Drosophila melanogaster: one gene and its partners. The protein of the gene in region 2 purifies or fractionates together with the protein of the main gene of each other region. This does not show direct contact. Each region holds a gene or a part of one and is shown on either strand. Other genes may lie near its edges. The genes, in order: CG5568, CG1806, Hexo1 and Synd.

The links.
Region 1: the proteins of CG1806 (region 2) and CG5568 purify together in Drosophila melanogaster (affinity purification with mass spectrometry, with the first as the bait; one large-scale study listed by BioGRID). This does not show direct contact.
Region 3: the proteins of CG1806 (region 2) and Hexo1 purify together in Drosophila melanogaster (affinity purification with mass spectrometry, with the first as the bait; one large-scale study listed by BioGRID). This does not show direct contact.
Region 4: the proteins of CG1806 (region 2) and Synd purify together in Drosophila melanogaster (affinity purification with mass spectrometry, with the first as the bait; one large-scale study listed by BioGRID). This does not show direct contact.

The regions. Positions count from the first base shown.
Region 1 is NT_037436.4:5,869,789-5,874,063, reverse strand, and holds CG5568 (uncharacterized protein), read right to left. Parts: upstream 2,564-4,275; 5' UTR 2,467-2,563; coding exon 2,299-2,466; intron 2,243-2,298; coding exon 1,731-2,242; intron 1,680-1,730; coding exon 722-1,679; 3' UTR 546-721; downstream 1-545. Other genes in the region: CG18586 (uncharacterized protein), read right to left, coding at 1-206, 264-431.
Region 2 is NC_004354.4:12,005,256-12,010,406, forward strand, and holds CG1806 (uncharacterized protein), read left to right. Parts: upstream 1-1,920; 5' UTR 1,921-2,146; intron 2,147-2,911; 5' UTR 2,912-3,014; coding exon 3,015-3,449; intron 3,450-3,514; coding exon 3,515-3,641; intron 3,642-3,767; coding exon 3,768-3,919; intron 3,920-3,985; coding exon 3,986-4,317; intron 4,318-4,376; coding exon 4,377-4,530; 3' UTR 4,531-4,649; downstream 4,650-5,151. Other genes in the region: CG1492 (uncharacterized protein), read right to left, coding at 4,839-5,151.
Region 3 is NT_037436.4:4,287,107-4,291,751, reverse strand, and holds Hexo1 (hexosaminidase 1), read right to left. Parts: upstream 3,112-4,645; 5' UTR 3,051-3,111; intron 2,845-3,050; exon of another isoform or gene 2,703-2,844; 5' UTR 2,658-2,702; coding exon 2,581-2,657; intron 2,507-2,580; coding exon 1,872-2,506; intron 1,792-1,871; coding exon 702-1,791; coding exon of another isoform or gene 683-701; exon of another isoform or gene 640-682; coding exon 573-639; 3' UTR 541-572; downstream 1-540. Other genes in the region: CG15012 (uncharacterized protein), read left to right, coding at 1-65, 129-238; TfIIEbeta (transcription factor IIEbeta), read right to left, coding at 3,461-3,718, 3,775-4,065, 4,126-4,288, 4,364-4,468, 4,541-4,602.
Region 4 is NT_033777.3:20,830,790-20,838,810, reverse strand, and holds the start of Synd (syndapin), read right to left. Parts: upstream 6,013-8,021; 5' UTR 5,938-6,012; intron 4,415-5,937; exon of another isoform or gene 4,346-4,414; intron 3,587-4,345; 5' UTR 3,584-3,586; coding exon 3,480-3,583; intron 2,937-3,479; coding exon 2,827-2,936; intron 1,227-2,826; coding exon 889-1,226; intron 777-888; coding exon 550-776; intron 487-549; coding exon 366-486; intron 299-365; coding exon 188-298; intron 136-187; coding exon 1-135. Other genes in the region: CG31223 (uncharacterized protein), read right to left, coding at 6,380-7,535, 7,595-7,623.

The DNA of each region.
Region 1 (4,275 bases), on a different chromosome or scaffold from region 2:
TCTTCGTAGGCATTGTGAAGGGCGTGTAAGGGGGTTCCGTTGAAGAAGCATGCATATGCCACAGCTGATTGGTGAGTCGTGTGTCTGCCCATGACCCCCACTATATCAGTTTGCCCCAAGCCCATATTCCTCATATAACTAGCCACTCGCATCGCATTCATATGAAGATCTTCGCGGGTGAGTACGATGTCCTCCGTGATCGAGATCTGGTGGTTCAATGCAAATCTATACATTTCTCTGATTTCGAGAGAAAAGAAACTCACCTGGGCAATGAGTTTCGGATTGTTTACCATATCCCCAAAGATTATCTCTCCGATTGATAAGTTTGGCGAAAATAAACTTGGTGCTTCACGACCACTCCAGATCTTGAGTTTATCATCATAAGTGCACATCGCGTTCAATAGTTTTTGTTTTACTTCCATTTCAGCCATTATAAGAAAATGCTGAGTCGATTATTAGTTTTTAAGTAAATTATGCTATTATAACCCCTCGTATCAGCAATGCTATTTCACAGCAATAATGTACATAATTACGAAAGATCAGCTGTATTAACGATTTTGTAATCGATATGTGTTTCGGTATTATTTTACTCGGCGAATATGAAAAAATGCCTAAGATGGCGAACCTCTTAAAAAGCTTACGATAAATACAACAAATACAAATACAAATACAATAAAAATACAAATACAACATAAACATTACAATAATTAAATATGCAAAACTAATTCTTCTCCATAATTCGTAAAAACTCAGCTTTTGTGGCCGCTCTGTTTGCTTTTCTATTGCCACTCTGAATAATGTGATCCACAATCAAAGCTCCTCCATTCAACTGCTTAAATTTGGCAGGTATACGTTTCCTCACATACTCCACAACATCCTGGGCCTCTAGTTGGGTTCCTTGTTTCTTGACCACTGAAGCGGCTGCCTTATCTCCATAAACGGGATCCCAAATGCCAAAGACACAAGCTTCCACAACATTTGGCATTTCAGCGATGACACTTTCAATCTCGCTGGGGTAATACATGATGGTCTGATACTTGAGCATATCCTTCAAGCGATCGATAATGAACAAATATCCATCCTCGTCCATGTAGCCCAGGTCCCCGGTGTGAAACCAGTTCTCCGAGTCCTGCATCTTCTTCGTTTCTTCCGGATTCTTGTAGTAACCAGGCCATTTCTGACCATTATTGAAGCATATCTCGCCCACGACATTGGGTCCTTGTGCTTCACCCAGCTCGTTGACTATTTTGATTTGAATGCCTCTAACCGGACGACCCACTGAATTGGGTTTCTCATCGAAGTTGAAGTTTAGGCATCCGGGGCTGTTCAACTCGGTTAGTGTATAACTGAAATTTACACATTCGTTGCTTAGACGGCTGCGAATTTTGTTCTGGACTTCCAGTGAGCAGTTTGATCCGCCGTAAAAGAAATACTTCACGGATGATAGGTCCGCCGCATAGAATTCCGGGCAATTGGACAGCATCGCCAATTGCGAGGAACTTACGAACACCATCGATATTCGATACTTCTCAATTAGGCCACACAAATTGGCAGGATCAAAGTCACAATCTTCAATTATACTAGTCAAGCTAAACACGGCTGCATTGATGGTCATCGTGATGCCTGATGCCCAATCCAAAGTGTTTGGGTTATACTGAATAATCGAGCTATCCACGGGTCTGAAAATAATAAATTAGATGGGTGTATAAAATTAAGGTGGTAATATTTACAGAAAACTCCCAATAATCTGGTGACTATTGCTAATGGTGACTGCCTTTGGAAGGCCGGATGTTCCCGAAGAGCTAAGAATGGCCAGTAGTTGATCAGTACCGTCTTTCAGTCGCACTGGTCGAAAGTTCATCTCCACGGGAGTGGTTAAAATATCCTGAATTCTCAATATTCCTGCCGGGTGATTACGCATGGTTACTATTTGTACCTGAAGGCCTTTGGTGGCTGCTTGAACTTTCTCAAACTCATCTCCATCACAGAAGATTAAGCGTGGCTTGGTTATTCCGAACAGTCTCTCGATGGCAGATTGTTCGTATTCGGTGTGTAGGGCATGATAAGGAGTTCCATTAAAGAAACAGGCATAGGCCAGAGCAGTCAAGTGAGTGGTCAACCTGCCAATGACTCCCACAAAGTCACCTTGCTCCAGACCCAGTTTACGCATATAACTTGCCACCTTCATCGCGTTTGTCTGGATGTCTTTCCAGGTCAGCTCAGTGTTTTCTGTAACTGAAATCTAAAGGTTTTGTTTCGATGAATATAAATATTGTTTCTTGTAAATTTATTAAGTACCTGGGCAGTGAGCATAGCATTGCGCTCCATTTGTTGAAAGATAATTTCTCCAATGGACAAATCTGGTGAGAATAAACTGCGTTTTTCGCCACCACTCCAGATCTTTAAGTTTTCATCAAAGGTGTTTCTTGTCTTAAAGGGCGATTTTCCCGCTTGCAATTCACCCATTTTGTATAATACGTTAAGAATTAAAATGAAGGCTTATAATTTATATATCTCTCTAACTTCTGTGATAGTAATACCATAAAAACGAAAGTGATAGACGCAAGAACTCGAATTTAAAGCTTCAAGTTAGGTCTCACCATTATCAACTGACTTATTATATCGATATTTCTTTGAGCTAAGAAAGAGATACTAAAAGTTTTGTTCATAAGTGAATTTATTTCATCTACCAATCAATTATTCCGTCACTGTTGCCATACTAATCATATTTACTATTTATGTTTACTTAAGCAATGATTAATTGCCAAGACTGTTTTCATGACCGCTGATAATCCGATTTTGAGATTGCATCCCATAGTAAAATACTCAAAAAGATGTCGAAAAGTGTTTCAGCAAATGGTCAGCTGGGCTGGACTGGAATCTCCACCACCACCAACAATAAGATTATGATAATGGGCAGCCGTCAAAGAGAGGATTATGGGTTTTGGAAAACAAGTGGATTAAGGGGTTGACAATTGGGGGAATGTGCTGTCAGGAATTTGGCTTTTGCGTTTTGCATTTGTTTTTACGATTATGACCGACATGGATGGATCGGAATCGAAATCGTTCAGTTCTGCTCTGTCCCATTATGATGCGCTATTTTGAGTGACCCTGTCCTCCGCAAACATAGCGAAACTAATAAGTAAAATGTGTTTTTCAAACATTGATTTCGGCCAGTGCGTGGTGGGTGGTGTTTTAGGAAACACACACACACACACCCCCTTTTCGAGACGACAACATTTGTCATAAGGCCAAGACAGCCTCAACAGTTGTTGGCGATTATCATTTTGACAGTTGCTTCTCGCTTCGCTTTTGTTTCAGTTCCCTTGGCTGCGTTTTGGGCCTTGATTTATGCATTTTTAAGCGGTTCACTTATTGTTTCTGCGCACAAATATGGCCAAGTATCTCGGTATCTGCGAGATACAATCCCCTAGTCAGCCCTTGCCGCGTAATTTGTTGATTTATTGCAAGGCTGCCACTGCAGGCATCTTCATTAAGCAGCACTAGCTTCCGTTTTTTATCCGGCCACGCCCGTCGTCTTGCAGCGCCCACGATTCGCTTTCATTATCATTATCCTGCCGGCATTGTCCTTAGCCTCGTTTGTCATGCTCGGTGCGTCTGCTTAAGTTTTCGCACGCTCCAACGCCTCGGCTTCCTTGGCGCAGCCTTCAAGATGTGGAAATTGAATTGAAAACGTGCTGAAGCGTTAAATGCTCTTGTGTCAACTGCTTCCAATCCACCCAAACCTCCTCGCCCCCAAATGTCCTTCTGTCCATCACATTTCGTCCTGTGTGTGTGGCGACATATGAGAATTTGTAACCTCAGCACAAGCTGGTCCGAAGTTGCGGCTGCGTCGGCCGTTCTCCGCTCGCCCCCCAAAAAGTTCCCGGCCAAGTGGCAAGTGGCAAGCAAGCGGGCCATAATTAATTCCAAATTGCATCCGCAAAGGATTGCCAAGTTTCGCTGGCCAAAACTTATCGAAGGTACGATGCAGAGTGTGTTGCTTAAGGGATTACCGAAAATCTGCTTTTCAATATTGCTCATCTCTTTAAGAGCTAAGTAACTGTTCAGGAGCAAGAAAATTCTTACCCAATGTAATTTATTTGTAATTTTTTTTATATTTATAGCCTAAAAGTATGCTATTGCGTTTTATAAAGTTCCATATTTGGCCGGTAATGATGATGGCGCTATTCTACTTTGTACTAAAATTATATCGGCGACATCTAGCGAACATTGTGTGAAGTCGCAGCAGCTACGAAACGCCATCTGCTGGTC
Region 2 (5,151 bases):
GGCCTAATCATAAGTTTAATTATAAGTTTACTAACTCGAAAGCTCCATAAAATGGTTATTTTTAAACACAATTTAATATTCTATCACAAGAAAAGAATTATCTTAACTGAAAATCTTAGCTCCAGTAGTTATAATTTTTGGGAAAAGGGTATACAAACTTCGGCTTCCACGTTTTCAAAACTTCGCTGGCTAGTTGATTCCCAGCAAAGTAACCCAAGCCGAGTACACGTTAATGAAAGAAGTGCGACTTAAAACCCGTACTAAAACTGGATCATAATAGTAGCCGTATTCTGTTTTAATACCGATAATTGGCAATGCCCAACGTTCTAAGTCGCAAACTGTGGCAAATTGTACAAGTTAAAAAGGTGACGAACGGACTTTCGGATTTTATTTCTATAGTTGTCCTAATTCCAGGTTCAATATACCGCAATGACAAAGTGCTATTTTGGCAACAAAAAACGAAGCTCTGAAACTATAAAGAAAAATCTATAAACGAAACTGGCGATTATAGTTCAGCTAGCGGAAAAGGGAAGTCAAATTTCTCAGCTTTTTGTGGGAAGCGGAATTTTTGAAATCGCATATCTGTCAACGTAACATTTTCGATTCATTCTCAATCCAACATTGCGCATGATTAACAATTTATTATCATTATTCCGCAACATTTCGCAAAGTTGCATTGGTCCGTTGACCAGGCTTTGTCGTCATCTTCGACGTGAAAACAGTCCCCCTATTTTTTTTTCACCCATCTGACGTCAGTTTATGGTCTTTTGAGCCAGCAGCATTGCAATGCTTCAGTTGGCATATATTATTTAACATTTTTATGTAATGATATAACTAGATTAACTGCTAAATGCAAAGACAACTACAAAGCAATTCAGCGGTCTTGAAATCGAGGGCTAAACAAAAGAGTGGCCAACAAAACCTACCGTACTAACCATTTTAATCAACGTCTTAACGTCTTGCCAACTTGAATAAGAGCTTTTTATTGCTGAACCGTCCAAACCGAAAGCTTAGTATAATCAAGCTTGCGAATATCGGCTAATATATACGCAAATCCAGTTAAATGGCAAATTAGTGTTAGGTGAAATTTATCTACAAGTTACATTTCGAACACAGAACTAACGAAATACTTATGATCTATCTATGGTAAAATATTATACAAATTTAAATGTTGGCAAAACCTGGACATCTTAGGCTTGTTCTATAAACTAATAGATACTATAATTATATTATATTCATATATCTTATGAAATGCTATACATTTTATAACAAGCCAATTTTCTCAATGTTTAAATATATGGGTTCAAAAGTTTTCAGTTCATTATCAATGTAAATGGTGTGATAAAAAACGCAATTAGGCGATAATTTCATGATAATTTCATGAGCGTTATAAAATAACACAAGACCATAATTGCAGAAAATTTTTATATTTTCCAATTTTAAAGGGAGATACATATTCATATTAACACTAAATTCCACCTTCAAATGATTCTCCAAATATTCAAACCTCAGATGTAAGATATACTCATTAAATATTTTCACATATATTTAAATATTTATTAGTTTCTTCTGGGATCAGCTCTACCCCATCCACATTCCGCAGCAAACCGAAAATGTGGAAAAGCATCTGTTGCTTTTCCACACACTGAAAGTGGGCAATAGTTTTAACCTTGGCTAAAATGCCTTCTACAAGACCGCACTTTTCCCAACTCTCTCTCTCTCTAGCGATCTCAGCTTGGGTTTCGCTACCTCTCCGAGAGAGAGTGGGAGAGAGAGTAGGAGAGAGTGAGAGCGAGGTGTTGGGCAGTACCTGTGCGTTCAGGTATTTGAGGTGTAGCCATATGTGTACACACATACATGCATAGATGTGAGAGCATAAGTGGAAATGGCTCGCTTTAAAGCGCTCGATGAGAATTATTTTTAGTTTGTTTTCGCCTCTTGGTGCGTACAGTTGCACTCACGATCCGTCCAATCCGCTTATATTTTTATTTTTTATTATTTTTTTAGTTCAGCTTCAGTTCGATTTTGTTTTGATTTCAGTTCGTTTTTAGTTCAGTTTTTCTTTTTTTTTTTGTGAACGCTGCTTTCCCCGCCTTCGCTGTTCTCCATCGCAACGATTCCGAATCGGATTTTCGTTTTTCTGTTGGTACGACAAGTTTGCTCTTTATAAAGTTGTAAAGTTTTTTAGTCTGGCCCGCCCAACCGACGATCAAAAATGTTTTTTGTTGATTTCGATGTGTGTTATGTGTGTGCTTGTGTGTATATGTGTGTGTCCCTAAATAGATCGAAAGTAGTGGAGTTTGGCAATCAGAGGTTTATATATCGATTGTACAGCGGCAGAAATATCTTCGTATTTTCCCATTAAACGAACTCCGGTTCAGCGATCCGTAACTGTAGAACCCAGAAATTTTGAGAGTTCCAACAACCTGGCCAAGTAACGAAACCAGCAAATACCAATATCGTCGTTCTCTGGAATTTGTGAATAACTATCATTCCTCTCTCTCCCTCTCTCTCTCTCTGTCACGCTCTCGATGTCTGCATCTCCCTCTCGCCGATTGGGAGCATCATCAATGGGATGCCAACGACCCATTTAAAAACCGGAAAAATCTATGAAACCGGAAAAAAATGACTAATCTTAACGCACCGGTGCTTTGAATTAATAGAACTAGAAATTGTTTCAAAAACAGCTAAAATATAACAAAAACTAAATAATAATATATTGATAAGATTGCAATCTCAAAATATAAACATTTAGGATCTCATATTTACTTACGAAAATAGTTGCATATCCAGAGGCGTGGGAATTGTTATTGAAAACAACAAACCTTGAAGCATTACTTGATTATTTAAGAACTCATATTTCATATATGTAGCTGCAGTTTTGTTAACTAAACAAACATTTTTCTTGCAGCGAATGCAGCCGAGAGTACTATGCTCGTAGCACTTGGAGCGCTGCTTCCGCCTGGTTATCTCCTAGTTCCGGAATGTCCATCTAGCCAGGCGATTGGGAAGTCATGCCAGTGCAGCAAGTGCGTCCCGTGAGCACCTACGACAACTTGGGCGTCTCTCAGTCCAGGCAGCTGACGGCCGGAATGGCTGGCGAACCGGAAACGGAAGTCGAAGTGGAGCTCAATGGCAGCCACACCAGCCATAGCATAGCCGCTGTGAAGGCGGCTCTGAACGATGCCAAGTCCAAGTTCTTCGGCATCAACAACTATGAGTCACCCATGGCCAGTAAGAGTGCAGCAGTGACGACGATTGCCAAACCGGAGCCAAGATATCAAAATGTTCCGCAACGCGACGAACTGCCGGCAGTGGCTGCTCCCGATCCTCCAGCGCAACCAGCACAGCCGACGGCTCCAGTTAGCGATCATAGTAGGGCACTGCGCTATGCGACCACCTACGAACAGATTCCACTCAGCGACATGGAAGCACCGCAGGCATCGCAGGTAATTGACGCCATCTAAGCAATCGCAAAGTCCAAATCAAATGTCCAACTCTTATCCCAAAAAAGGCCGTCTACATGAGCACCACAGTGCCGCAGAACATGAAGGGCATGAAGATCGCCGGACGACATACGCCAACTCGCAACAGCCTCAGGCACAGCCGCATGATCGTTGTCAATCACAAAAACCACGACAGTAAGTACACCAGCTGTCTAGCGAAGCTATATGATGGAGTGTGTGGGTGTCACACAGTCATTGTTGATTTGGCAAAGAACAAACACATTTCGATTTCAATTACTCAAAGTTTGGCTATATGTACAGGTCTCCAGGCCACCAGGAATCTGAATATATCTCGCCAGCTTCTGGTTATGCAATTAGCTGTGGGCCTGTTCATCGTGGGTCTTGCCGTTTGGATACTAATCCTAGCCCCCAATGCGTCCATATTGATCAATCCGTATCTGAGTGGATTGTCGGTAAGATGAATGTGTGGAATGGTTGGATTAGTATGTATAATAAGAATGAACTTACCTCTCGCTCAGCTGCTATTGGCCAGCATTGCGGGGCTCATACTGCTGCGAAGGGATCACAAGATCACGGAGCACAGACCGCAGACCAATAGTTGCTACAAGGTCCTGCTGGCCGAGTCGTATGTGTTCACTGGCCTGGCGTTGATCTTCTGCTGCTTGGCCCTCGTCTGTGCGGCAATTGAGTTCGCGGAGCTCATCTCATCCGCAGACGGAGAATGTGGACCAACATCGAGCTCATTGCTTAGCTATCACAATTGCACCTGCTTGGCGGCAGGTGAGGTGGTGGCCAACTACTCCTCCGAGGCTCCAATGGCATTTGCAGTTGGTCAGGAGGAGGCGTCACAGTAAGTTTCGAACTGCAGTTATACTTAAACATTGGCATTGAGAATATTCTCATTTCTAGAAACGATGGTTGTGCCGAGCTTCGGATCGAATGGAAGTATCTGCTCGCCTTCTCCATGGCGCTCAACACTTTGGGCATTGTTGCAACATTCTTATACATAACGTTATTTATTTGTTGCCACCGCAAGCGAGAACACTTTTACACGTCTGTGTAGGGATATATTGTAACTTAAATTCAACATACTACTTAAATTATTTTTAGCAACTGATACAAATTACAAATAAATTATTTTTTATATCTAAGTACCATTAAAGTAACACAACGTTTAAAAACAAATACTGTTTGCTTTCGTGCGATAGCATCTAAAAAAAAACTAAATACTAACTTATTGAAAAATAATTTGTTAATTCATTCATATTTGAGCAATTAACGTGTTTGAATAAGTTTCTGCTGGAAAACATAATTAATACTTTGTGTAAATACTATATGTTTGGTATAGTTTGTGAAAAGAATTCGACTTTTTTAAAATCCACTAACTCCACCTGGCTTCCGAAAATCCGAGTTCACCCAGATGGTGTCGTTAGCTTGAGCGATTCCACAGATGACGGAACCGCGGTTCTCATAACGCTCGCATCGATGTCCCCTCTCCGCCAAGCTATCCACATAGCTCTGCCGTAGTCCATACTCGTAGAGCAGAACATTGGGCAGCATTTGATGATGGATGCGGCTGGCATCGATGGCGGCCTTGATGCTTGCCTCCTGCCACAGGATGCGCACGAGGAGGGGAGAGAGGGCAGAGATTATTTTGGTACCGCCAGCGGCACCCACAACCAAG
Region 3 (4,645 bases), on a different chromosome or scaffold from region 2:
CCTAATGGGTTTTGCCTCCATCATTGCCGCCATCTGGGTGATGATCGACGACTTCATCAACAATGGTGAGAAATAAACAGATATTTAAGGATTCCTTAGCTGAATTGCACCCACTTATCGTTTTTCAGAAAAGAAGGATGGCTGGTTTGGCGTGGCTCTGCTGATGCAAAACGTCTTCATCCTGTTCGCCAGTTTGGTCTACAAGTTTGGACGCAACGAGGAAGAGTGGAATGAGTAAAGCTTCCATTCAAATTATTGCACAAGGGAACGCAGCTTTTAGTATCTAGACTCATTACGTACATAATCAGGAGTCCAAGGAGTTTATGCTTGAGGCCGAGGACACCATCACTCGCAAATCCTCACCCCACACATTGAAGCGTAAAATGTCCAACTCTGCTACTGTTCATATTCGAAAAAATCGTCGAGTCTGTACGGATTTCCCTCACTATTTCCGACATTCTGCCGCTTTGAATCGGAAAAGGGCGCAGAGCAGGGCCAATAATCTCATTTATATTTAACAAAATAAACGACAAGTCACTTGCGTAAGGCCACCTTTGAGCTGTACTTTATTTTCAGGCAGAGAGCGTTGTGAGAAGCAACAGGACGATCAACCCAAGCCGCCCGCTGCCCCGACTACATCTACAAGGATAGCGACCGTTAAGAGAAATGGTTTAATAGCTGGTCAAACTTGTGCATCGTACGCGTCAATGGGACACTCGTGCTCGTTTTGCAGGCACCACTGCGGCTGCATGGCCTCTGCGCCCAGACCATTGTCCACCAGTCGCTGGCGGTGGAGCAGCAGACGTGACTCCGCCTGGCGCCAACCTTCGGCAGGATTTGACCAAAGTCGTTCGGCCAGGGCACTGGCCCTGGGCCAGAAGCGGTTGTCCAGTGTGTGCTCGTCGATCTGCTCTGACCAAATGGCTCCCTCCGCGCCCAATACATGATGCTCGTAGTCGCCGGCAATGGATTTCAAACTATTGTCGTACACCTTCTGCCAGCCAATGTAGGGGGAGCACCAGTTGTTTCCATCGGTCACCCAGCCAGCTCCGCCGCAATCCAAGTACAGGGCATCGTAGTTGGACACAATGATCTTGTAGCCCCGCTCCAGAATCTTCTTTACCTTCGGATCTACACCAGTGGTCCAGATCTGAATGATGTAACGCTCTGGGTTCAGATACTCGTCAATGAAGGGCTCCTCAGTGAGTCCACTAGTCCACAGAATGATGGGCGTGTGCGTACCATTGGCCACCTTGTCCACGCGACCAAGAGCCTCCGTCTGGAAGTGTCCCCACAAGCGCATAAAGTCGGCGGTCTCCAGGCCCCAACCCTGTTTCTTCATCCACTGCTGGATGGGCTGGCTGCTGTTCCAGCAGCTGGTTGACACTTCATCGCCGCCCATGTGGAAGATATCCGGGTTGAACTGATCGAACATGGTGCCGTAAATGTCCTCCAGCACATCGTACATTTCGTTCACAGTGGGATCGAGTTGGCCACACGGTGGCTCAACGCAGAACGACTTCCATGGCTGGGCATTGAAGCAGGCGGTCATGTTCTTGTGCTGCCAGCCCTCACCCACATGGGCAGGGGCATCGAACTCTGGCATAACACGGATGCCTCGCACGCGGCCGTACTCCACAACCTCGGCCACGTCCCGACGGGTGTACACCTGCCGTTGGGAATAGGCTCCCAGCTTGTGCAGCTCCGGACGCTTCTTCACCTCCAATGGGAAGCTGTGCGAGTCCGTGATGTGCCAGTGGAAGGTGTTCAGTTTGACCAAGGCCATGCCCTCTAAGGAGGAAAAAAGGATACTCATAGAGTCAACGGAAAACATAACCCTCCCCTGCCTCTTTCCTGAACCATTGCCTTACCCAACGTCCTCTTGATGGACTTCACAGAGTAGTAGTTACGGGAGGTGTCCAGGAGCAATCCACGCCATTTGTACACGGGAGCATCGTTGATGGTGGCATTGGCAGTCACCTGAACCTCGCGGCGGATGTCATCGTAGACAATCAACTGGGCTAGTGTCTCCAGGCCATGACGGGCTCCAAAGAAGTTGGACGCGGTTATGTTGGCCAGCACATGACCCGAGGCATCCGTATCAATGTCCAGCGTATAGCTCTCATCCGTATCCAGGGTGAGTCTGGCCGGTGTCGGCTCATCCGGAGTATTGATGTTCACAGACATACGGTAGCCACCTCGTGCCAGAACCTTGCGATCCGGAATCTGGGCTTCGAGCATGTTCATGAAACGGTCTTCAACCGCTCGCCATAGCTTCTGCTGGCGGGCAATTCCATTGAAATTGAAATCAATGAAGGAGATGTCCACTTGGCGCATCAACGTGTCCAGACGCACAGTGCCCGTCGGTTTGGGCCACAAGGTGCCGATGGAGCTGCCGCAGAAGAGCCGGCACACGGGCAGACTGATGGCCTTGACGTAGTTCTCCTCGCTGAGCTCTACCTTCTGGCAGTAGCCACTGCGGCACTCGTAGCCGTAAACCAAGTCACTGGATGCGGGAATCAAGTCAAAGAGAAAGTCAGTGACCTAATCTATATAGCATACGAGGTTTGATTTACTCACTCCGAGCTGTGGGCCGCCAGTTGAGACACCAGGGCCAGGAGCAGGGCCACTCCAAGTGCAGTCCGCGTCGACTTCATTTCGTCAACCTCAGCACAGAAACTCTCAAAACCAACTGGCGAATGCTTCGGGAATGATAATTAAACAAATTGAGTATTTCAAAACAAGTTTTTGCCGCCGAGTAGAGAGCTCATTGTCCGTGCCAAAGAGTCAAGCCAAGTAAACAAAGAATCGGATTTCATGCAAGTCCACTTATGAATACCCTATCTTTTAAATTGAACAAGTTAGAGGACGAACGATAGTTTGCAATATGACTGATTTACGAGTCGTATGAGCTATATTTTTGTCTATACTGAATATCGGATCTCTTGTTATAATCTTAATAGATTACAAATAGCAACACAATCTTTTTTTAGATTTGTAGAGTCCAATATATAGATAATTTTCCTGATAAGCCCGCACAACCGCCGTACCAAAATATAGGTTATTCCAAATCGATTCCAACTGAACTTGGCTGCTGTTCAGTGCAGACTAAAGCTACGGCTTCCCTCTGTTGCCAATTTAACTGCCCACCAGCATCGATTCTGGCCCTCGTACACGCACACCACCAGCCATCAGGTGTGGAAAGCAATGGGGAATGTCAGGAAAAGATTACATAGTTTTGCTTTTTAATTATCTTTCCCTGTGCCGGTCGTCATATTTTTAAGTTCAATGCCACAGGCAGAACAGCAATCTGGTACTATAAATCTTGAGGAATGAGATTTCGGCCACAGCGGATTCTTAATTAGATTGGCAGTGGTTAAACAAATTTATAACATCCAGTTTCGAGTGTACTTAATTCCATTGAGAGTGGTTTTTATTTGTATAATCTAATGTCTCTATTCTACGTTGGGTTCACACCCTTCAGCGTTAGTGTGTTATCCTCGTAGACCTCCAGAACGTCGGCCAAATGTTCGTTGTCTCTGGGCTTCTTGAACTGCCGCTTCTTGTTGGCCGCCTTCTTGCGCTTGGGAATTGCTTTCTTGAGGCCATGGTCCTGCATGGAGCGAATGCCCTGCTTCTCGAGGTACTCGTCAATCTTGGCGTCGTCCATTGCATCGACCGTAGCCGAGCGCCATAGCTTCTGGAACTCGTCGTCCACCTGAGACGGTACAATTGATTAGGCTGGGATTTTAGAAGAGTGTGTTTATAACCCACCGAAAAATTAGCAGTCCTGTCATTGTAAAATAAAATCTTCTTTTTGTCAATGGGTCTAACAACAAAAAGTATTTCGGCTGATCGGTTCTTCAGCACCTTTTCGCAGTGTGGTAGAGATTCCTGGACATCGTCCAGCAAAATGCCGCCCAGGCCCTTTAAATCATGTTGCTTGAGCAGACGCATCAGCGTTTTGCCATCCTTGATCTTGTAGACTGGCTTGAAACTGAACTTGGTGCCACATGGACTGGCTTCCACCTTGGGATTGTTGTGCAGAGCCTCGCTAGCAAGCCACTAAAATAGAGGAATAATGGTTTAATAACCTGCCACAACTTATCACGCACTGTAGCTAACATTCTTAACGGATTGCCCAATGTCCAGCTGGTTGGTCTCGTCCAGAATCTCATCGATGGTCAGGGGATGGTCGTCGCCGTCCTGGTGACGTGTGCGCATGAATTTCACAATCTTGGCCAGCACTCCAAAGCGGTACTGGGAACTGCCGGACATGGTCTTGTATCTAAGTATGGAATGCAAGAGTTCCACATGGTTAAGAACCATTTCTGGCAGTAGCAGAGGCTCTCAAGGAACTTACGTTGTGGCATCCAGCCTGGGAGCATTGGGCGGGCGCATTTTGCGCCTGGAATCATCGCTAGGCGGCGGTGGAGCTGGTCTATCGGGCTTGGACTTCTTTTCCACGCTATTTTAAAAGGATAGCATGTAATTTTCGAGAAGCAATCTTTATCAGAGGGGCCACAAGTGCGGTACTCACGTGGGCGTGGCCATCGCCCGCTTTTTGAAGGCCTCGCGTTCGCGAAGCAGTGCTGGATCCATTTCGAATGTTTTTTTTTATTATTTAGCTCTACGAAAAAAAACT
Region 4 (8,021 bases), on a different chromosome or scaffold from region 2:
CGCCGATGTTTTGGCTTCCGATGTGGTGACTGAGGATTGCGTGGTCGCTATTTCGCTCTTCACACTCGCTCTGCTGCTGACACTGCTCAAGGTGCTGGTGTTCTTCTTCAGGCTGTTTGTCTGGGGGTATTCCTGCTAAAGAGCTGGCTTAGTCTGATATTAACTACTGGGTAGTCAACTGGCTTACGTGCACATCCTCGGCCACAGGTCGCTGGTTGATGAGCGTGATGGGTGCTGCCGGCAGTGCCTCTTTTGATTTGTTGCCCTTGGCAATGTCACGGAACTCCTCCGTATATTCCTGTCAACAAATAGGAAGTTCTTCCATTAGCGGCCACACTGGGCTTCAGTAAAAACAGAAAACTCACCACAAATGATGGCCAATTCATGGCCATGTTAATGCCATGATTGTTCGACCACCATTTTAGGTCTTTCTGCTGGTCTGCATTGTTGATCGTGTGGGAGAACTCCTCGTAGATTTGGGGCAGGCTGTAAGTCATGTAAAAGTTATTTAAATGGATCAGTTAAACTCAAATCAAATTCAATTCGCACCTTTGCACTTTTGTGAGGTCCAGGCACGAGTGCACGTTGAACAGGATTTCTTTGAAGAACTGCAAACGCGTCTTCTCAAAGGTTTGGCACTTTTCAAACACGGATGTCATGTCCTCGATGTACACCGAATTGTATTTGGTGATTTCGGCAATCGCCTGCTCGTACTTTTCCCGGCACTTTTGCACTTGATCTTTGGTCTTTTGCACTCGATCGTGCATTTTCTTCACCTAATTAGGAAATGAGAAGTGGTGTGAGCATAAAATTAATAAATAAATTAAATTAATAGTTATACATACATATGTATAACTAAACTATTGCTTTTACAAAAAAGATCCTTACCTGATCCGGCGACAACGAGCTATCGGCATTGGCATTGCGTTCCTGATTGGTAGCACTGCGCTCCGTCTTGCAGGCCGAATGGTAGTCCGCTTTGGCCTTCTCGACCTTTGCCAGCAGCTTGGCCCAGGGTTTCTGGGCCTTCTTGAACAGATCCTCCAGGTCCTTGCGCTCCTTGATCTGCATAAGCGTGTGGTGGTAGTTCTCCTTCTGCCACGTCTTTATCTGGCTGTTCACATCGTTGCAGAGATTGTCCTTGATCTTCATGTGAACGTCGGAGATGCGTTCCGATTCCGTCAGAACGCCCTTCCAGGCTGCCTCCGTGGTTCCGTATTCCGGGCCTGAAACAAATCAGACATTCGTTATATATCTCTTTTAGCGTTTCTCAATTAACAACAGATTACAAGCGTGTCACCCTGTCGAGCTGTTTGCGGCTGACGTCATCGTGAGCCCCGCGGGTACTTGGTTTATCTAATCAGCCGCAGCCGCAAGATATATACAAACATACATATGTAGCCATATCTATAGGTATAGCAAATATAAAATGCCCGAAGAATAAGCGCTTGTATGGGTGCTGCGATGGAGGAACATCGTACATTTTTGGCATTTTTTATTGGGACCCCAAACACACGGCAATCAAGTTGATATGATGCTCGTCTTATAATTGGCAGTGCACGGAACTCGTTTGCCTAACGACTCACTATTCCCAATTCCCCCTGTGAAAAGGCACACAAACAGATATATAGAAATTGAGACGCTTAGCACACAAATAACTCGTTCTATTTTCTCGTCGCATTGATTTTTGAAACCATTTCAAGCGACGCTCTGGTGCCGGTTTGCTTTGGTGCCGAGTTATGGGCCACTGTCCAGCGCTTCTGCCTCCCAGTCTCCGTATCTGTAACTGTGAACGTATCTGTATCTGTATTTGTATCTGCACACGTATTCGTATCTGTATCTTTGGCTAGACGCGGCTAGGCAAATTCCTCGCAAATAAGAAAACTCGAAGAGCACTCGGAGGCGGAGGAAGTGATGGTAGTCGCTTTTGCAATTGCCCATCGCTGGTTACTGTGAAAGTGGACACTGAGAATTCCGTGCAGAGGCGGTCACAGAAAATAGCAGCAATAGAAGCAAACAGTACCAATGGGGCAAAGCGGTTTCCAACTTCGCAAGCGCTGTACTCGATTTCATTTTACGAAGAAGCGCGCACACTGTGCCGGACATCCGCTAAAAATGGTCAAAGACCCAATTCCGAAAACAATGAGTGAGTCGATGATTACCGCCGTTTTCGAAAATAGTATTTGGTAGTGTGTACTTATAGAAGTACATATATGAGGCAATAGCAAGGTAATAAAACCTTAAGAACCCATATAACTTATATATCAAAAAATAAAAATTGTATATTACTATAAAGCAGAAACCCACAGATATTTGATTCTTTATTTATTTATTATTTTCTCTTGTACAAACTTAAGATTTCCGCTGCCGAATTTTAATTGTTTAGAATGAAGAGTGTGAAGAGTGTATGCATATGTTTATGTTAGTTAATCCAAACACTTTGCCAGCCCCGCTCATTAACATACTTAAATAAATTGGTGTGGCGATTTTGAACCACAGTGCGCAGCTTTTGCAGAATACAACCGACAAAAACGAGGTAACGAAAAACGTAAAAAAAACCATTAATAGCTTAAGCCACTTATCGCACAACGGCAACAACAATGCTCAGAATGATGTACAGAATGTAGAAAATAAGAACAGCCAGTGGGCCAAATAAGTGGTGGGAATTCAACGTGAGCGGGTCACTTGATGCTCCACTGGGCTTTTAGCTCGTGAATGAATGTGTTGGCCAACAGAAGGCTTCCACGACTGATGATGTCTCATCCCACAGGCCACAGCCACCCACATCCCCATATCTCACCAGATCCCCACCTGCCGCTCACTTACCTTTCTCAATGAGTTCACCCCATTTCTTTGACCAGGTGCGCAGGCTTTTCGCATATCCCTTCTCGATGTCGGCACGCTCCTGAATCAGTTGCTGTAGGTCATTGCAGAGTCTGCGGGCGAAATGAGACAAGAATCATAATAATGCAAACCGGTTTGAATTTTTGTCTTGGGTTTGGGCTTCGGGTGTCGATATATTCGGCTGGCAATGACCCAGCGTCGCCCAGTGCAAATACACAGAGAGAACCCATTACCTATTTGCTTAAAAAGATTGATTGTATCACTAGAAATCAAAGCTCATTAAAAAAGTTTATGAAATGTCCACATAAGTAGAACAAATTGAGTTAATACTAAGACCAATGCTTATACCAAGGTCTTTATATTTTCTTATTTTTTTCCCTTAAATAAATACGAATTGCTGTAAGTTTGCATTCAAAACAATGTGATGACACTGCATGACCTACTAAACACACAGAAAAGATACAGTTACCAATACCAATTGGTATGACAGAAACGTTGAAAAACGATTGGGTTGCAGCTACGAATATGTTTTTGAATATTAAGCCAATTGTATTATGTCGAGGAATTCGACTGACATAATGGCAAAATAAAGTATCTCTCTGTGCACCAAGACTCCCTGGGGATTATCCACTCACTTGTAACCATCCTCGATCCGCTTGGTGGTGCGTTTGTAGTTGCCGGGCTCCCAGAAGGAATCGCTTCCAGCCTGGAGGAGCTGATCATCGCTGTGGTGGGACATTTCCTGTGGATTCCAATCAATATTAATCAATCACATACGACGGGCTTAAGCGCAATAATCGTAAAATATGAGTTTTGTTACGTAAATAGACACTGCAGACATAAACAACTTCCACACAGCAGCAACAACAAAAAGCTCTTTGTTTATACGCAAACTTGTATTTTTGTAGTGTTTGGCTAAGACCAACAAATCGTTTGTTAAACGACATACTATAGTAAACCCAAACGAGACGGGCTCTGAGTAAATTTATTGTTTGCCTAATTTGTTCAATTAAGAAATTCCTTCACATTGATGCAACAGGCAGAACTTTAATTACTGGAGCCTTATCAACGACCATATTTCTTGACGGTTTCGCCGAGTGTCCCCATTGATAAAGACTGGACTTATCACCCCTGACTCATTGTGCAACTTTGCATGGTGTTCTGCCAATGGGTTTACTATTTTCAAATTGGAATATTAAGGTAATGTCTTATTTTAATTGAAAAAATTTTCTTCGAAACTAAAAAATAAACATATTTTTAACCATATTAAGATAAATAAATATTTGTAATTTATTTTGAATTCGATTATTTTTAGTATCGCTTTCAAATATTATTTCTGTTTTTTGAGATAAATAGATAATGTTGACAGATTTTCTTTCTGTGTAGCATACATTTTCCACCGTAATAGTTTCATCTTATCAAGGGAATTCTCATGCACCCATATTTTGTAACCCAGATAAATGAGATCCCAAAAATTGAATTTGAAATTTAATATACATACACGCTTCAGGTGTTCTGCATTTCTGATTGTACGCTGAACAGTTGATACGCTTGTTTTTACTCCGGACAAATTCGAAAATTAGAATTCGAAGCAATTCTAACAATTTGGCGTTCTGCTTGCTTTGATAGTGCTTTTTTCTTTCCTTTGAAGTTATTCCCATATGCCTCTGGAACCTTCAAATATCTATCAACAGTTCTGCAGCTGCGATTTATCTGTTTGGCAATGTTCCGATTAGGCAATCCTTGCGAGTGTAGGAAGTCTACTTTTTGACGTTCCAATAAGCAGCAGCTTTACCCATTTTTTCTTCAAATGTAGCTCGAAAACACTTTATTCGTTTATTTGTTATATTTTTTCAATACAACAGTTTATACTTGTCCACGCAATACGAAGAAATTTAAGCTGCATCTAATTCAATGACCAACAGAAAACTTTGATAAGAAAAGCATTTTGGACAATTAAAAAAAGCATGCAAATAAATGATCGATTTTGTTAAAAAAAAAACGATTGTGCGTCTAACCTAAGAGCAGCAGTGTACATCGTATTGGAGACCCTTACGTGTGACAACATTTAACATTTCAATTCTCTCTGTGTAGCGAGCTAAATTTTTTCATACTCGGCGATGGGAAATCTTGGTATCTTATCAGTGGAGTGGAGTTTCCCTGCATCAGCTGTTTGTAAACAATGCAGTCAGTTTGAGTTCCACTCGCACACACCCGTATGGTGAATAACGGTTATGTTATCAGCAGCATTGACCGGTTATATACATGCTTTCTTATTTATATATGTATAATAACCTCTGCTGAAGTTTAATCACCTACACACATGTGTAGATTGGTGATGTTGGGTCTGCTGAATGTGGAATCTTGTATCTTGGGTTGACTTGATTTGGGCGTCATCGACTCACGATGCGCTTACGGATTTTCCCCATCATCGGCTATAAATATAAATATAGGATCGCGGCTCAGTGCGATTTTCGTGTTTTGCGTGTGGAAATGGCCAGCAGAAAGTTTACAAACAGGTTGACGCATACTTCGCATATTTGTGGAGATAGATAAGCACCTTTACGGCGCTCTCACAAGCACTCGCGCCACACACACACACACACATACGTATATGCACATCTAAACCAACACGTCGCACACTTAGGCGATAAGAAATCCCCCTCCGCCAAACAACCAAGAAACTCGTTTATCTTTGAGATTGAACTTGTCTCGACCGTTTCTACTGTAAATATTTGCATCGTTTTCCAGCACACCTTACATAAGGTTTTCTTGGGGCGCTGCTATTAAAATGCTTTCGCTGTGCACTAATTTTTAGCAGGCGAAGCGTACGAAGAGCACTTGCTGGCCGATTGGATTTTGTTGTTGCCAGACGCACACCGACACGCACACACGCTCGGCTAGGTCACACAAACACACGGGAAGCGAAATTCCGCTACACCCAAACGCGTTTACATGAAATGTTCTGTTCTAAATTGCGATCGCTTTTGTTGTTGCTGCTGCTGCAGCTGCACTGCATTTAAATGGTTGTTAAATAATCCTTGGCTTTGGGTCTCTGGCACTTGTTCATACCGAAGCAGGGCGACAACCTACCAATAACAAAATAGCGTAAAAAAGCACTACAACTCGAGTGTGTGTCTGGAATCGCCAACTAAAAAAACTATGTGAGGTGTGACCGTTTCGCGACCATTCAAATACACCTCGCGGCTAGCTGAAAATACCGCTCCATACGAATACAAAAATACCGAAATGTATTTAGGATATACATTTATTTTTAAGACATCTGTACATATTTTTAAGTACTAGTTACAGTACTAGCACAAAGTCAAGTTTTACTTAAACCAATTTGTTCTTTAAGTCCTTAAAATACTGAAGTTTCCAATCAAAATGTGTACACTAATTATACATAGTTGTATTTAAATTCCAAGTAAAATAAAACAATAAAATAACAATCAATCTATAGTCAATACCGCTCCAAATTTTGTGGACAATATAAAAACAGAATTATTTTGAAATGTTTATTTTAGAGGATTGCTTAAAGGACTTCTTCCCGCGCCACATACGACAGCATAAACTCGATTTTGCGAACCAGTTGCGCCAGTTTGGTGCGATCCAATTGCACACTTCCGCTGGCCAAAGCGAACAGCTTCTGGAACTCGGCTTCCTGGGTATTCTTACGGCGACTGATTGCCTTCGTCTGCTGCAGCAGATAGAGAACATCACTAAGGGCGGCCAACTTGTGCTCCTTCGTAGCCATCAACTGGCGGGCATCCTGCTGCAGCTGCTCCCTGTTGTCGACGAGGAAATTGGCACCTCCTGCAGCACTTCCAACTGCAGCCGCGCCGGCAGGACCATTACCCGTGGTGATGGCTTCCATCTCTACGGAGACAATAGCGTCCTCAGCATCCTCGAAGTTGGTGCCGTACTTTAAGGTGGCGCTGAGATTGACAAGGTGGGCCACTGCCTCGCTGGCATTGGTCCTCTGTTCGCCGCCAAAGAAACGAGCCACACAGGCGTAGGCGCTTAGTATGTTCCACAAATTGTAGTGCAGGCACGGAGACGGAGTTTTCTTGCATATATCGGAGAATTTGGCAATGCTCCCGAAAATTTCGGGAACACGGCTCTCTTTCTTGGCAGCTTCTTCGGGTGTAGGTATAATCACAATCTTAGAGTTCTTCGGCTTGATCCACCAGGGCTTGTAGTCTGGCATAAGCTTCATGATATCTCCATTGGTGATCAATTTCTGGAACTCATCTTGCTCCTCTGTAGTTAACCGGCTCCAAACTTCATCCGCATCGTTGATATCAACGCCTTTCAGTCGAGTTGCAATGTCTTCCTCCAGGTCTTCATCCAGTATGTCCCCCTCGGTGACGTTTTCTTCCGCCTCATCTTCTTCTGACTCTCCTTCCTCGCCTCCATCCGAGTCCAAACTATTTTCCAGGCCATCTGTATCAAATTCCTGGGGATTGAAACCACTGTCCGTTTCTCTCATCCTCTTCAGTATGTCGTATATTTTCCGCATGTCCTCCTGGCTTTCCTGCGTTACCGTGTTTTGGGTCAGCTCGTCCTGAATGCAGGACTTGTAGAAAGCCTCGGAACATTTAAGGTGCTCCTTGGACTTGTAGCATCCCACGCTGCAATACAAAGCATTGCACTTGGGACAGGTGTACTTGAAGGACACCTCGCGACAGCTGCAGGAGATTAATATATATTGAACCGCTATAATTAATATTACTTGTTAACTACTTACAAGTGACACTTTTCATCGGCTTCCGACATGGTCAAACAAAATGGAATAAACAAAATAGTGCGGTCGCCAACAGCTGATCGCTGTAGTGTGACCGTAACCACGATTCGTTAAGTAACGGCTTTTCAAATGGATAAGTTTTTATTTTGTTGTAAACAAAATAAAGTTGTTTGTAAACAAATTATACGACTTAGATATTATAAGAGTTGGATTTAATTTGAATTACGCAATTTCTCTTGTTTTTTACATAGGAATTTATTAGCAAATAACTATGTATATCAAATATGAACCTTAAAGATAAAATATATTTAAATATTAACTAGTTAGTCTTTTTACAAAAATTCGTTGTAACTAAACAATACACCTATCAACTACGAACATCAATGAAAAGAGAATAATAATATATTATTTAAGTACTTTAAATGTAAAA